Linked DNA regions of Drosophila melanogaster. The protein of the gene in region 1 interacts with the protein of each later gene in a pairwise test. Each region holds a gene or a part of one and is shown in the gene's direction. Other genes may lie near its edges.

Evidence for each region. Proteins that work in one complex are often made in the same cells at the same time.
Region 2: the proteins of CG6733 (region 1) and Eato interact in a two-hybrid assay, tested with the Drosophila melanogaster proteins (one large-scale study listed by BioGRID).

The regions. Positions count from the first base shown.
Region 1 is NT_033777.3:23,096,139-23,099,725, forward strand, and holds CG6733 (uncharacterized protein), read left to right. Parts: upstream 1-1,589; 5' UTR 1,590-1,620; coding exon 1,621-1,711; intron 1,712-1,768; coding exon 1,769-2,260; intron 2,261-2,319; coding exon 2,320-2,737; intron 2,738-2,794; coding exon 2,795-2,999; 3' UTR 3,000-3,053; downstream 3,054-3,587. Other genes in the region: CG17109 (uncharacterized protein), read left to right, coding at 1-233, 294-711, 771-975; CG6738 (uncharacterized protein), read left to right, coding at 3,436-3,526, 3,581-3,587.
Region 2 is NT_033779.5:13,782,310-13,790,124, forward strand, and holds the start of Eato (engulfment ABC transporter in the ovary), read left to right. Parts: upstream 1-1,774; 5' UTR 1,775-1,860; coding exon 1,861-2,043; intron 2,044-2,161; coding exon 2,162-2,285; intron 2,286-2,403; exon of another isoform or gene 2,404-2,476; coding exon 2,477-2,677; exon of another isoform or gene 2,678-2,741; coding exon 2,742-3,212; intron 3,213-3,270; coding exon 3,271-3,429; intron 3,430-3,487; coding exon 3,488-3,666; intron 3,667-3,900; coding exon of another isoform or gene 3,901-3,945; exon of another isoform or gene 3,946-3,970; coding exon 3,971-4,187; intron 4,188-4,249; coding exon 4,250-4,550; intron 4,551-4,613; coding exon 4,614-4,926; intron 4,927-4,990; coding exon 4,991-5,142; intron 5,143-5,203; coding exon 5,204-5,387; intron 5,388-5,489; coding exon 5,490-5,727; intron 5,728-5,787; coding exon 5,788-6,411; intron 6,412-6,478; coding exon 6,479-7,481; intron 7,482-7,547; coding exon 7,548-7,815. Other genes in the region: CG16890 (uncharacterized protein), read right to left, coding at 301-636, 688-1,128.

The DNA.
Region 1 (3,587 bases):
GGGCACAGGATATCTGGGTGCCATCCGCCTGCTTAAGGCAAGTGGTGTCCAGCCCAAGCGCAATTTCTTCGTGACCTTTGTGCCCGATGAGGAGATCGGCGGCGAGCTGGGCATGCAGGAGTTCGTCAAAACGGAATACTACAGCAACATGAATGTTGGTTTCAGTCTGGACGAGGGCGGCACCAGTGAAATAGATCTGTTCTATGTCTTTTATGCCGAACGTATGCGATGGGGTGAGTAATCCTTGAGACACATCTAGGACTAGAATCTAAACTATATCCCCTCTTTGGCAGGTCTCAAGCTGAATTTCAGTGGAACCTCTGGACACGGCTCCATGTTGCTGCCCAGCACTGCCGGCGTGAAACTGAACTATGTGCTCAACAAGCTGACGGAGTTCCGCGAATCGCAGGTTCAGAGGCTGGCCAATGATCAGACAATCAACATCGGTGATGTGACAACTATCAATCTCACCCAGCTGAGCGGTGGAGTCCAGAGCAATGTGGTGCCTCCTCATTTCGAGGCTGTCTTCGACATGCGTCTGTCCATCACCCTGGATGTGGTTGCCTTTGAGAAACAGATCCACGATTGGTGCGAGGAGGCAGGTGGCGGCATCGAGATCTCCTTCGACGAGAAGGAACCCTACGTGGCACCCACAAAGATCGACGACTCCAATCCATTCTGGCTGGCTTTCAAGGCTGCCACCGATGAACTGTAAGTCTGAATCGAATGCTCAACAATGCGTGTTCCTAATACGATTTGTATGTTTATAGTGGCCTTAAGATCTACCCCATTGTCTGCCCCGGTGCCACCGACAGCAGGAACATTCGAGCTCAGGGCATTCCAGCCTTGGGATTCTCACCCATCAAAAATACCACCATGCGCATCCATGATCACGATGAGTTCTTGGGCGCCGAAACTTATTTGAAGGGCATTCAAATATACAAGAAAATTTTGGGCAACCTAGCGAATGTCTAAAAACTAAATCGAAATAATACATGAAAACCTTATCAAAATAAAGATTGATGATTTTGTTATAAGTTAGTACAAAACTTCCTGGCCTTTTATCTTATCTCAACGAATACCTTAATCAACTTAAGATCTGAAGAATACAACTTGCTATCCTTGCGACAGCAAGTAGATAATGGATGTATCTACATTTTGCTGTATCATCATAGATAGCAAGTTGGAAGACTGGGAAGCCCATTAAATCCAAAATAATCACTTGATTTTTTCAAATCGAAGGTCATCAATCAAAGCTTCGTCATTTTAATTGAATTTGTCATAATTTTACGATATGATGGAAAATATTGAAAAATACATGACAACTTACCAAGAACTTGAGGTTTCAAAGGTTGAGGTTGCATAGATAATACGCAATGAACTCATTTCTGTGTAAGTTGCATAGATAATACATAATGAACTATTTGCCGCTTAGAAAAGTTACTTATTCGGATAATAGACGTGTGGGTTTTGCAGATAAGGGCGTTACTATCGCAACCACATACACTTTTGATAAGCATTTAAATTCCTTGACCATAAACATGAAAGCAATCAGTGTGATTATAAAAGCACAGACAATCTTTGTTGCAGCTCAGTTGCTGATGACAGAAGAGTGTCGAAATGAGCTCGGAAAAGTGGGAAAACAATGAGGAAATTAAGATTTTCCGGGAATACTTGCGTATACCAACGGTGCATCCAGATGTTGACTATAGTGAGGACTTAATTTTAATTCTTTAAAGTTTGCGTTATAATGTCTTTCAATGTCTAGCTGCCTGTGTGGAGTTCCTGAAACGTCAGGCTAGCTCCCTAAATCTTCCTGTTGAAGTGGTTTATCCTGCTGTTCAAACGAAGCCCGTTGTGATCATCAAGTGGGAAGGAAGTCAACCCGAACTATCGTCCATTGTTCTCAACTCTCACACGGATGTGGTGCCAGTTTTTCGAGAGAAGTGGACCCATGAACCCTTCTCCGCCGATATTGATGAAGAGGGTAGGATCTTTGCACGGGGTACTCAGGACATGAAATCGGTGGGCACTCAGTATCTAGGAGCGATTCGCCTGCTGAAAGCTAGTGGCTTCAAACCAAAAAGGAATTTGTATGTGACCTTTGTTCCCGACGAAGAGACTGGTGGTCATCTGGGCATGGCGGAGTTTGTTAAGACGGATTACTACAAGAAAATGAACGCGGGATTCAGCCTGGACGAAGGCGCCACTAGTGAAAGTGACGTTCATCATTTGTTCTACGCCGAACGTTTGCGATGGGGTAAGTTCCATAAGGATGATGATGATGGATTGGGGACATTACCGTTTCGCTTTATGCAGGACTCAAGCTGAAAGTCAGTGGAACTTCTGGTCATGGTTCCCTTTTGCTACCCAATACGGCAGGAGTAAAACTGAACTATCTGGTCAACAAACTGACTGAATTCCGCACCTCGCAAGTGGAGAACCTTGCGAGAGATTCCAGCCTCAGCAAGGGCGATGTGACCACCGTGAATCTCACCCAGTTAAGTGGCGGAGTCCAGAGCAATGTGGTTCCGCCACTTTTCGAGGCGGTCTTCGACATACGGATTGCCATTACTGTGAATGTGGTTGCCTTTGAGAAACAGATTCGCGATTGGTGCGAGGAGGCGGGTGGTGGCATTGAAATTGATTTCTTCCAGAAGGAGCCTTATATAGGACCCACCAAGCTGGACAATTCCAATCCCTACTGGCTAGCTGTCAAAGCCGCAATCGATGAGCTGTAAGTACCGACTAAAAATTAACTATAATGGCTAATCGAAATCCTCCTGTGTTTTAGTGGATTGAAGGTTCATCCCATCGTTTGTCCTGGCGCCACTGACAGTCGTTTCATTCGGGAGAAGGGTACCCCAGCCATTGGATTCTCACCCATTATAAACACCACCATGCGGATCCATGACCACGACGAGTTTCTGCAGGCTGATGTGTATCTTAATGGCATTGATGTGTACAAGAAGATTATTCGCAATCTGGCTGAAGTCTAAACAAAATGTTTGAACTACATGGATCGTGGCTATAATAAAGATGGGCTAATTACTAAAGTGTGCCTCGTATCTTCATTTTAGAGAGTAATCTTATCAAAAAAAAAAAAAGATTCAAGAGTTTAATTTGAAATTCCGTGTTTATCTCAATATTGTTTGTTGATTCTTTGACTTTCGCCTCCTTGATCAAGATATAAATGATTCTGATGGGAATTCTGTAGCAGATTGTCAACTATACTGCTTCTTGTCACTACCTCGACTGCCATCCAAAGTGACTTGCAATATAGTCAGAATTGGAAGAGATCTGCCGCCCATTGATAACGATTTTCTTATCATATACGCATAATCACTTTTGTGGCACGATCCAAATGCATATAAAGACAGCGGATGCCTTTAGCTGCTTATTTCTACTTTACCATCCTAACGATTCATATTAAAAATGAGTGCCGAAAAATGGGAAAAGAACGAGGAAATTCGAATATTCCGGGAGTATTTGCGAATTCCATCTGTACACCCTAATATTGATTATAGTAAGGTCCTTATTTTAATATTTCCTTAAATGCATTAGCACTATTCATTTTTAGCTGCTTG
Region 2 (7,815 bases), on another chromosome or scaffold:
GTATTGTATTTTCGAACCTTCGATTTGCATTCGATGGATATAGAAATAGCGATTGAACTAGGTGCATGCCTGAAATGTAGCCATTCGGAAATGTTTCCAAAAATCAATCAGAGTCACAGCCTTAATGTCCAGTTCAACTTTAGATTTGGTGTCGGTTTTAACACGCAGTTCTTGTGAATAATCCTGTAAATGTGAGTGTACATGTACATCGTAGTTCGTAAGCGAACGCATCTAGCGGCCAGTAACTATAAAAAAGAGCACTAGTGTCTACGTTGAATCCAAATAAATGTGCTATGTATTTTAAAAAATGAGATCCTCTAGATATCGCTCGAATTCCTGCTCTCTGGAGGCTTGCTCTCGGCTTATATCGGGTTGTTGTTGCCAGATCTGTTCGTCTGCCGTGGTGGCATCCTTTGAGTCTGTGGGCTCCTTGCTGGCTTCTGGATGGGATTCGGATGCTGGTTCGACAGGCTCCTCCTCCTCTTCGCCAGAACTTTCGTGACCAACATCGAGTTTTCGACGCTTACGTTTCTTTTCAGCGCGCCGTTCCTCCTTTTCCCTGCGTCTCCGCTTCTTGCATTCTCTCTTCTTGGTGCGGTAGTTCAGCTGATCCGTGTGGGTGGGACACAGCCGCACCTATGGAATTCCCATTAGTGACACAATCGCGGAAACCCATTTGGAACCCACCTTGACCAGCGCATTTAGGGGCTCACCCTTTTCGATATACCTAAAGTTTACCTCCCAGCTGCGCAGATTATCCCGCTCCCCGCAATGCCGGCTGCCGCACTGGAACTGCCCGGTTCCGGTGACCACCTCCTGCTCCGTTCGCCAGCGCAGCGCTATCTTGTTCTCCTTGTAGCGGGACAGGTCCGCGATGCAGTACTCCTTAAATAGCTTCCTGTAGTATCGCAGGGCCAAGCGCTGCTCCCAGCTTAGGGTGTCGCTATCCAACTCGTCGTCCTCCCACAGGAAGCGGTGATTCTCTCGGATTACATCGATGTCTCGCTTGTGCCGACGTGATTCCGTCTCATTCGGTAGGTTAAGCACGTAATTACTAAGTATATAGTTGTGTCGCTCCTTGGCACTCAGGTTGTTCAGATTCACTGGGAATAATTGCGAGCCGCTCATTATGATAAAAAATTTATAATAAACAGACTTCGATTTCAGGGCACTGCCTATCGATATATCGAAGACTGTGGTCCTACTCTGGCTATTTTTACGCTATATATTAAACGATAAATAAAATGAAGCTGCAAAATTTAATCACAAATTGAAATTATTCCAACTGAATATAATAAATAAATTTTAATATATATTATTGTTATTAACCAAAATAAAATGGCTATAACAAGTTTAGAAGAATGGCCCGTAATGGCGAAACTGCATGGTATTAATCTTAGCCAATACATATACTGTTTACACACTGTGGAATAAGTTAAATTTCTTACTTTAAAGGTACAAATTAAGAGTTCTTTGCTTAATTAAATGCAACTTTTTATGAAATATAATTAAACAATATTTATTTTACTTATAAATCAAAAAAACAAATTAAAAATGTGAAATATACAAGAAAATAAAAAACAAATTCCAAGTTTACACACTTTTTAAAATTATTTTATGACCCCCATTGGCTTTGGCTACGAGTAGACTGTACACTTATCAGTAAACAATAATTATTTGTAGCGTTCCTCCGTTTTTTACTACAAGTCCAATGTTATTGAATTCATTCCCACAGTGACTCAAGTCTCAGGAGCGGGTGCGGTTCCCATTTCGATAAGTATTACTATCGACGTTGATAGAGAAAAAATGCCATTCAACAAAGCAAAGTAAAATTAGGGAAAAGTTGATGTTAAACAGAAAATGGCTGGGACTTTTACCCCGCTGTTCTTCGTCTTTCTGCGGAAGAATTTGCTCTACTTGCAACGCAACTTGCTGCCCCTGCTCCTTATCTGCTCCGGATTTGCCGGAGTACTCACCGCGTACCTCCACTGGTCCGTCAAGCCCGTGCTTCACCAAATTAACCAGTTTGAAGCAAAGAATGAAGTAAGTTTCCCTCGCACTGCTACTTTATCTGCTTTTTATATTTGTACATACGTATGCATGTGATAACAAACCTGTGACCACACTAATCCTTATCATTGGACTTCAATTTATTTATTAGATGGTTCTTAGAGAATTGTACTTTCCCGGTAATGAGCTGGATTACATTTACTACTCACCCATCTCTCCCAATGTAGAGGACATTATGGATCTCCTGCGTGTAGATCTGGGAATTATACCAGAGCGTAAGTGCATTTCCAAATTATCTCATAAATTAGATATGTGGAAAAGTTTGTATGGTAAACGTAAACGTTTCCGACCATATAAAGCTTATATGTACTTTTGATAACGATCATACAAAATAACATACAAAATTCACTGCATATATTTGCGATACTATCTTCTAGATTGTATTTAACAATATTTCATTGCGCAGGACTTCGGCCCAACAACAACAGCTTCGAGATGCAGCTGGAGATGGAGCAACAGTGCCGTGGAAGCTGCTTCGCAATTGACTTCCACCGGGTACCGAACCGTGGCTCTGACAGAAAGTTCCGATACAGCCTCAGCTCAAATCAGATGCGCATTTCGCCCAGAAAGCGATTTGTGAACGACGAGGAAATTTATCACCAGATAGGTGCGTGTTCAATTTTTCCATTGTTACCGTTTAACGAACCCGCATGTTGGTTTTTGTTTATCAGATGATGATGATTATATTCGTTCCGGATTCCTGTCCTTGCAACACATATTGGACAAACAGTATATGAAATACCAGGAGCTCGGGAAAGACTTTGAGGTGGTGGTCAGCTCGATGCCCAACATGGAGGTCATCAGCATGGATAGTCATCGATTGACATATTTCGGAACACTGTGCAGCATTCTATTCAATGTGGTCCTACTAAGCAGCTTTGTGGTGCCCTTTGTGGAGGAGAAGCAAAACGGACTGAAGGAGTTTCTCAACCTGGTCACGCCCATGAGTTTCCTCAACGGCCTCACTTTCTTTCTCATTCGGTTTGTGTGCTACACATTGCTTATGATCTTTGTCCTGGTCGTTGCATATTTATACAAGGCCCTGGGCTCCATCTGCTTTGCTTACGTGGCAGTGTTGTTTCTGCTTTACATTTTGTCAACCATGTCGTATGCTTATCTGATCTCTATTTGCTTCCACTCAGGTAAGTAATTACATTGATATATTCAGCAAAGTTTACTAATCTTCTACATAACTTACAGTTTTCTATGCGAAAATCGGAGGGCTGGCAATGCTAATAATTCCCTATGCATTCTCATTTGTTCGAAGCTGGGCCACATCGCTGGCATTTGTGTGTTTTAGCACGAATACCTTTCTGGAGGGATTGGATATTTTTCAGACATTTTCAAATAAGCGTAAGAGTTTAAATTGGTTTTTAGTAGCTTAACATTTAAATTTGAACACTGGCTTTTTTTGAAGATCGCGAATTCGGTGCTGTGGATGTATTTCGCGTAATCAAAAGCAATTCCTCAACGATGTTTTCGGTCTACGTGGTTCTCGTCTTTCAATCCTTTTTGTATGCCATGCTCTACAACTATTTGGGTTGTGTTTTTCCCGGTCCTGGTGGACTAAAGCGACCGATGTTCTTTTTCCTAGATGTAAGTACTATTTCCGAAGTCCGAACCAATGATATTTAATGTCGGTATCAGATCAAAATTTTCGCTCGTGTGATATATTTTCTTATCTCGACATAAGCTTCAATTCAGTTCGTATTATAATTTTATGTTCATTATAATCAAGTATGAGATCAGATGCAGTAAGACTCTTTATTTCAATAGGTTACTTTGATCGAATCTTGTTTATTGAAATCGGTTAAAATGTCCTTTTTACAGTTCCGTATCGGTTATCGGCTGCATAACCAAACAGGGTTAAATTAAGAATTTTCTTTATTCTAAACCATAGCCCAAGACTTACATGAAACGACAACGCAACGAATACACGACGACACCGCGCGGCACTCATGCTATCATAATCACTGAGTTGTGCAAGAAGTTCCAGACAAGCAAGCGCGATACGCTAATTTCGGACAACTTGAACATGACGATCAACAACAAGGAGATTACTGTCCTGCTGGGCCACAATGGAGCTGGAAAAACAACCATGATGAACATGATAATGGGTAGGGACTCAAACTCAATTCGCTTCCTCGGCCATCCAATGCACATGTTGATTCTCTTTCAGGATTGGTACCAAAGGATTCGGGCAAGATAATTGTGTGCAGTGAGCGCGATGTGGCCTCCTATCGCCACCTGATTGGATTCTGTCCGCAGCACAGCGTTTTCATGAGCTACATGACATGTCACCAGCACTTGGAGTTCTTTGCCCAGCTGCGGGGAGCTTGCCGATCCGATGCACGCGATTGGGCAGATGAGAAACTTAAGAAGCTGGGACTTAGCGATAAGCGAAACGAATTCGGCAAGAATTTGTCTGGAGGCATGAAGAGGCGTTTATCACTGGGTATCGCCATTGCCGGTAACACCAAGTAAACTTAAGAGATATATTGCTTAAAGATATTCGGTTTAAAAATCTTTGTTTAATCTCGCAGAATCGTAATCCTTGACGAACCATCATCGGGATTGGACATTAACTCGCGTCGTGAGCTGTGGGACATCCTACTTAATCTACGCAAGGAGAAGGCCGTTCTGGTCACCACGCACTACATGGAGGAGGCCGAGGTCCTTGGGGATACCATCTGCATATTGGCCAATGGAAAACTGCAGAGCATCGGGAGTCCTTTGGAATTAAAACGAAAATCGGGAATTGGTTATCGTCTCAAATTAGAGATCAACGATTTTACATCAAGAGAAGTGGAAATCATGGAAATAATCCATCACTTTGTGCCAACAGCCAGAGTCTTGGTAAGTCATTAATAAATGAACTTTATATAAGGCGTGTGCATAATATCCTTTAAACGTTGAACAGAATGTGGTGAATCCTACTGTGTATATCTGCCTGCCGTATGCCTATAAAAATTGTTTCGCACAAATGCTTTATAGGCTGGAGACTGAATCAAAGGAACTGGGCATACATACAATTTCCATGACCGACACTTCCCTGGAGGATGTTTTCCTAAGGTAGGGATTGGAAGATACATTGTTTATTGTTTTTGCTTTAATATCTTATGTGGTGTTTTAGATGCGCAGGCGAACAGGATCAAGTGGATACCCCCGATGGTTCGCGCAATGATGCGCCGCTACTGGCACACTACAAAAGACTCCAAGACCATCCCCCTCATCGCGGACTTTTTCAACTTTGGATGGCTGTGTTTTACAAAAAGTGGACCTTTATTTCCAATGAATGGTTATATACTCTGATAATGGTAAGTTGTTAGCAATTTGTAGGACTTTGCTCTGTTGTATAAACGGCGAAAACAACTAAAACTAAAACGAACTAAAAACTTTTTGTGCTCCCCTCTCGCTAGCTGTGCATTCCCTTTGTATGCGTATTCGGGGCTATACTGGTGATGCACGCCATGTCCTTGGTGGAGAACGAAGAGGCTCTGCCGCTGAAGCTCAGCCAGATGGGCAGTGGCGTTATATACGTTCACAATCCAACGGGCCATCACGCCCATTTGGAGCAGCAGCTGCGTCAACAGATCGAGCTGAATGGAATCACAGCGAAAACAATGCACCTGCGTGGGAGTAATGATGTGAAAAATGGTGAGTATGCGACGTTGTGCTAAACATTTTAATGGCTCTATCAATACATGTGTTCTCTAGAATCCCTTGACTTACAACGCGACAACTTGGCTGATTTCTTGGAGCAGGTGATTGGCATTATTGACATGTACGGAGGTGGGCGTGGCACCTCCGATACGCCCACCATTGAGATTTTTTACTCAGGCAATCGCTACCACAGCTCTGTGGAGCTTATCAACCTGGTGGACTCGGCAATGCTGAAGCTAGGGCGTCCAGAGTCTGAAATTGATACGACTTACGTGCCAATTCGTCGATTTGTTAGCGACATAAGTCCATCGCGCCTCGAATACTATGCGGTCATCGTGCCGATCGGCATGTTCTTCTTCATGTTCTATTTCATCTCATTGCCGTTTCGGGAATATGCCAATGGATTCAAACAGCTGCAGACCATGTCGCGATTTACTTATTGGTTTGCGCATTTTACTTTTGATATGCTGATCCTGATCTTCGTCTGCGTTGCCCTGTTCAGTCTGCAATCCTTGATGATGCCCTCGGAGCTGTATACAACGGCTGAACTTAAGGTCATTGTGTTAAGCATATTTTTCTACGGCTGCAGCTACCTGCCCATTCTATACGCCCTGGGAAACAACTTTAAGTCGATATCCACGATATCTACTTATTTGCTTTTGATGCTGATTGTGTCCGGTAATATTATTTGATTTTATAACCAGTGACAACAATTAGAAAAACTATAAAACCCATTTTCTTTTAGCCATTGCCCCACTTATCACCTCCAGCAATGCGGCGGCCATGAAACTGCATGAGACCAAGATCGCCTTCCTCTGCTTCCTACCGGACTTCAATCTTAATCACCAGTTTCGCATCATCAATGAAAACTTTATAACCCGACGCCATCCGGCACTTATAAAGGGTCTTATCAGCCAGGACACCTTCTTTGCCTATGCCACCGCCGTGGGTGTTATGGTCATGGCATTCTTTACCATAGTCCTGGAACACAAGTATCTGCGCAGACGAATTCATGATGGCATCTGGGAATGGGCATTCCAAAGAAAGAAATACAATTCGACAGGCACCCTTCCCAGTACTCCGATCTCAGAAATTGATGATTGTGCAAGGGAGGAAAAACGGGTTACCGATCTGATAAAAGACCCATTGAACGACCATTCACTGATTGTGCACAATCTTCGCAAGCGATACGGCGATAAGCTGGCTGTGGACGGAGTCAGCTTTGCGGCTGCCCAGGGTGAATGCTTTGGTCTGTTGGGTGTTAACGGAGCGGGTAAGACAAGTACCTTTCAGATGATAGCGGCCAATTTGCCTCTAGATGGTGGCACTATCCGCATCAAAGGCGCAGACATTCGCGAGCATGAGTTGAAATACCGGGAATACTTTGGCTACTGCCCTCAGTACGATGCACTAAATAAATTCATGACCGCCGAGCAGTGCCTATACTACATGGCATTGCTGCGCGGCCTGAGCCGCCGAAGGACCGATGGACCAGCCAGCTGCAAGGAGCACGTGAAGTACTGGCTAGAGAAGATGCATTTGACCAAATATCAAAAGGTGCAAGTGCGCCACTATTCGGGCGGCACGAAACGCAAGCTTCTGGCGGCAATGGCCATGATTGGTGCACCCGCACTGGTGCTCCTGGACGAACCTACCACCGGTGTGGATCCCATCTCGAGACGATTTCTTTGGCAATGCATCAAGGATTTCCAGGGAAAGGATCGAACAGTGGTGCTCACATCACATAGGTAAGCCCAAAAAAGTATATTTCCTTTTCAAACAGATTCAAAAGTGTACACATTCTCTACAAACAGCATGGACGAGTGCGAAGAGCTGTGCAATCGCTTGGCCATCATGGCGCACGGAAAGTTCAAGTGTCTGAACAATATTTGCGCCCTTAAGCGATTAAGCGGCTTCACGATAAAACTGAAAATGAAGGCGGACACCGAAACGGAGATGAATGTGTCCACGATCACTGGCACGTTGAAGTCAGAGTTTCCTGGTCTGGAACTGCGCGAGAGCCATGCCGGCACACTCACCTACTTTGTTAGCACGCAGGAGAGTGTGGTCCTTTGGTCAAGT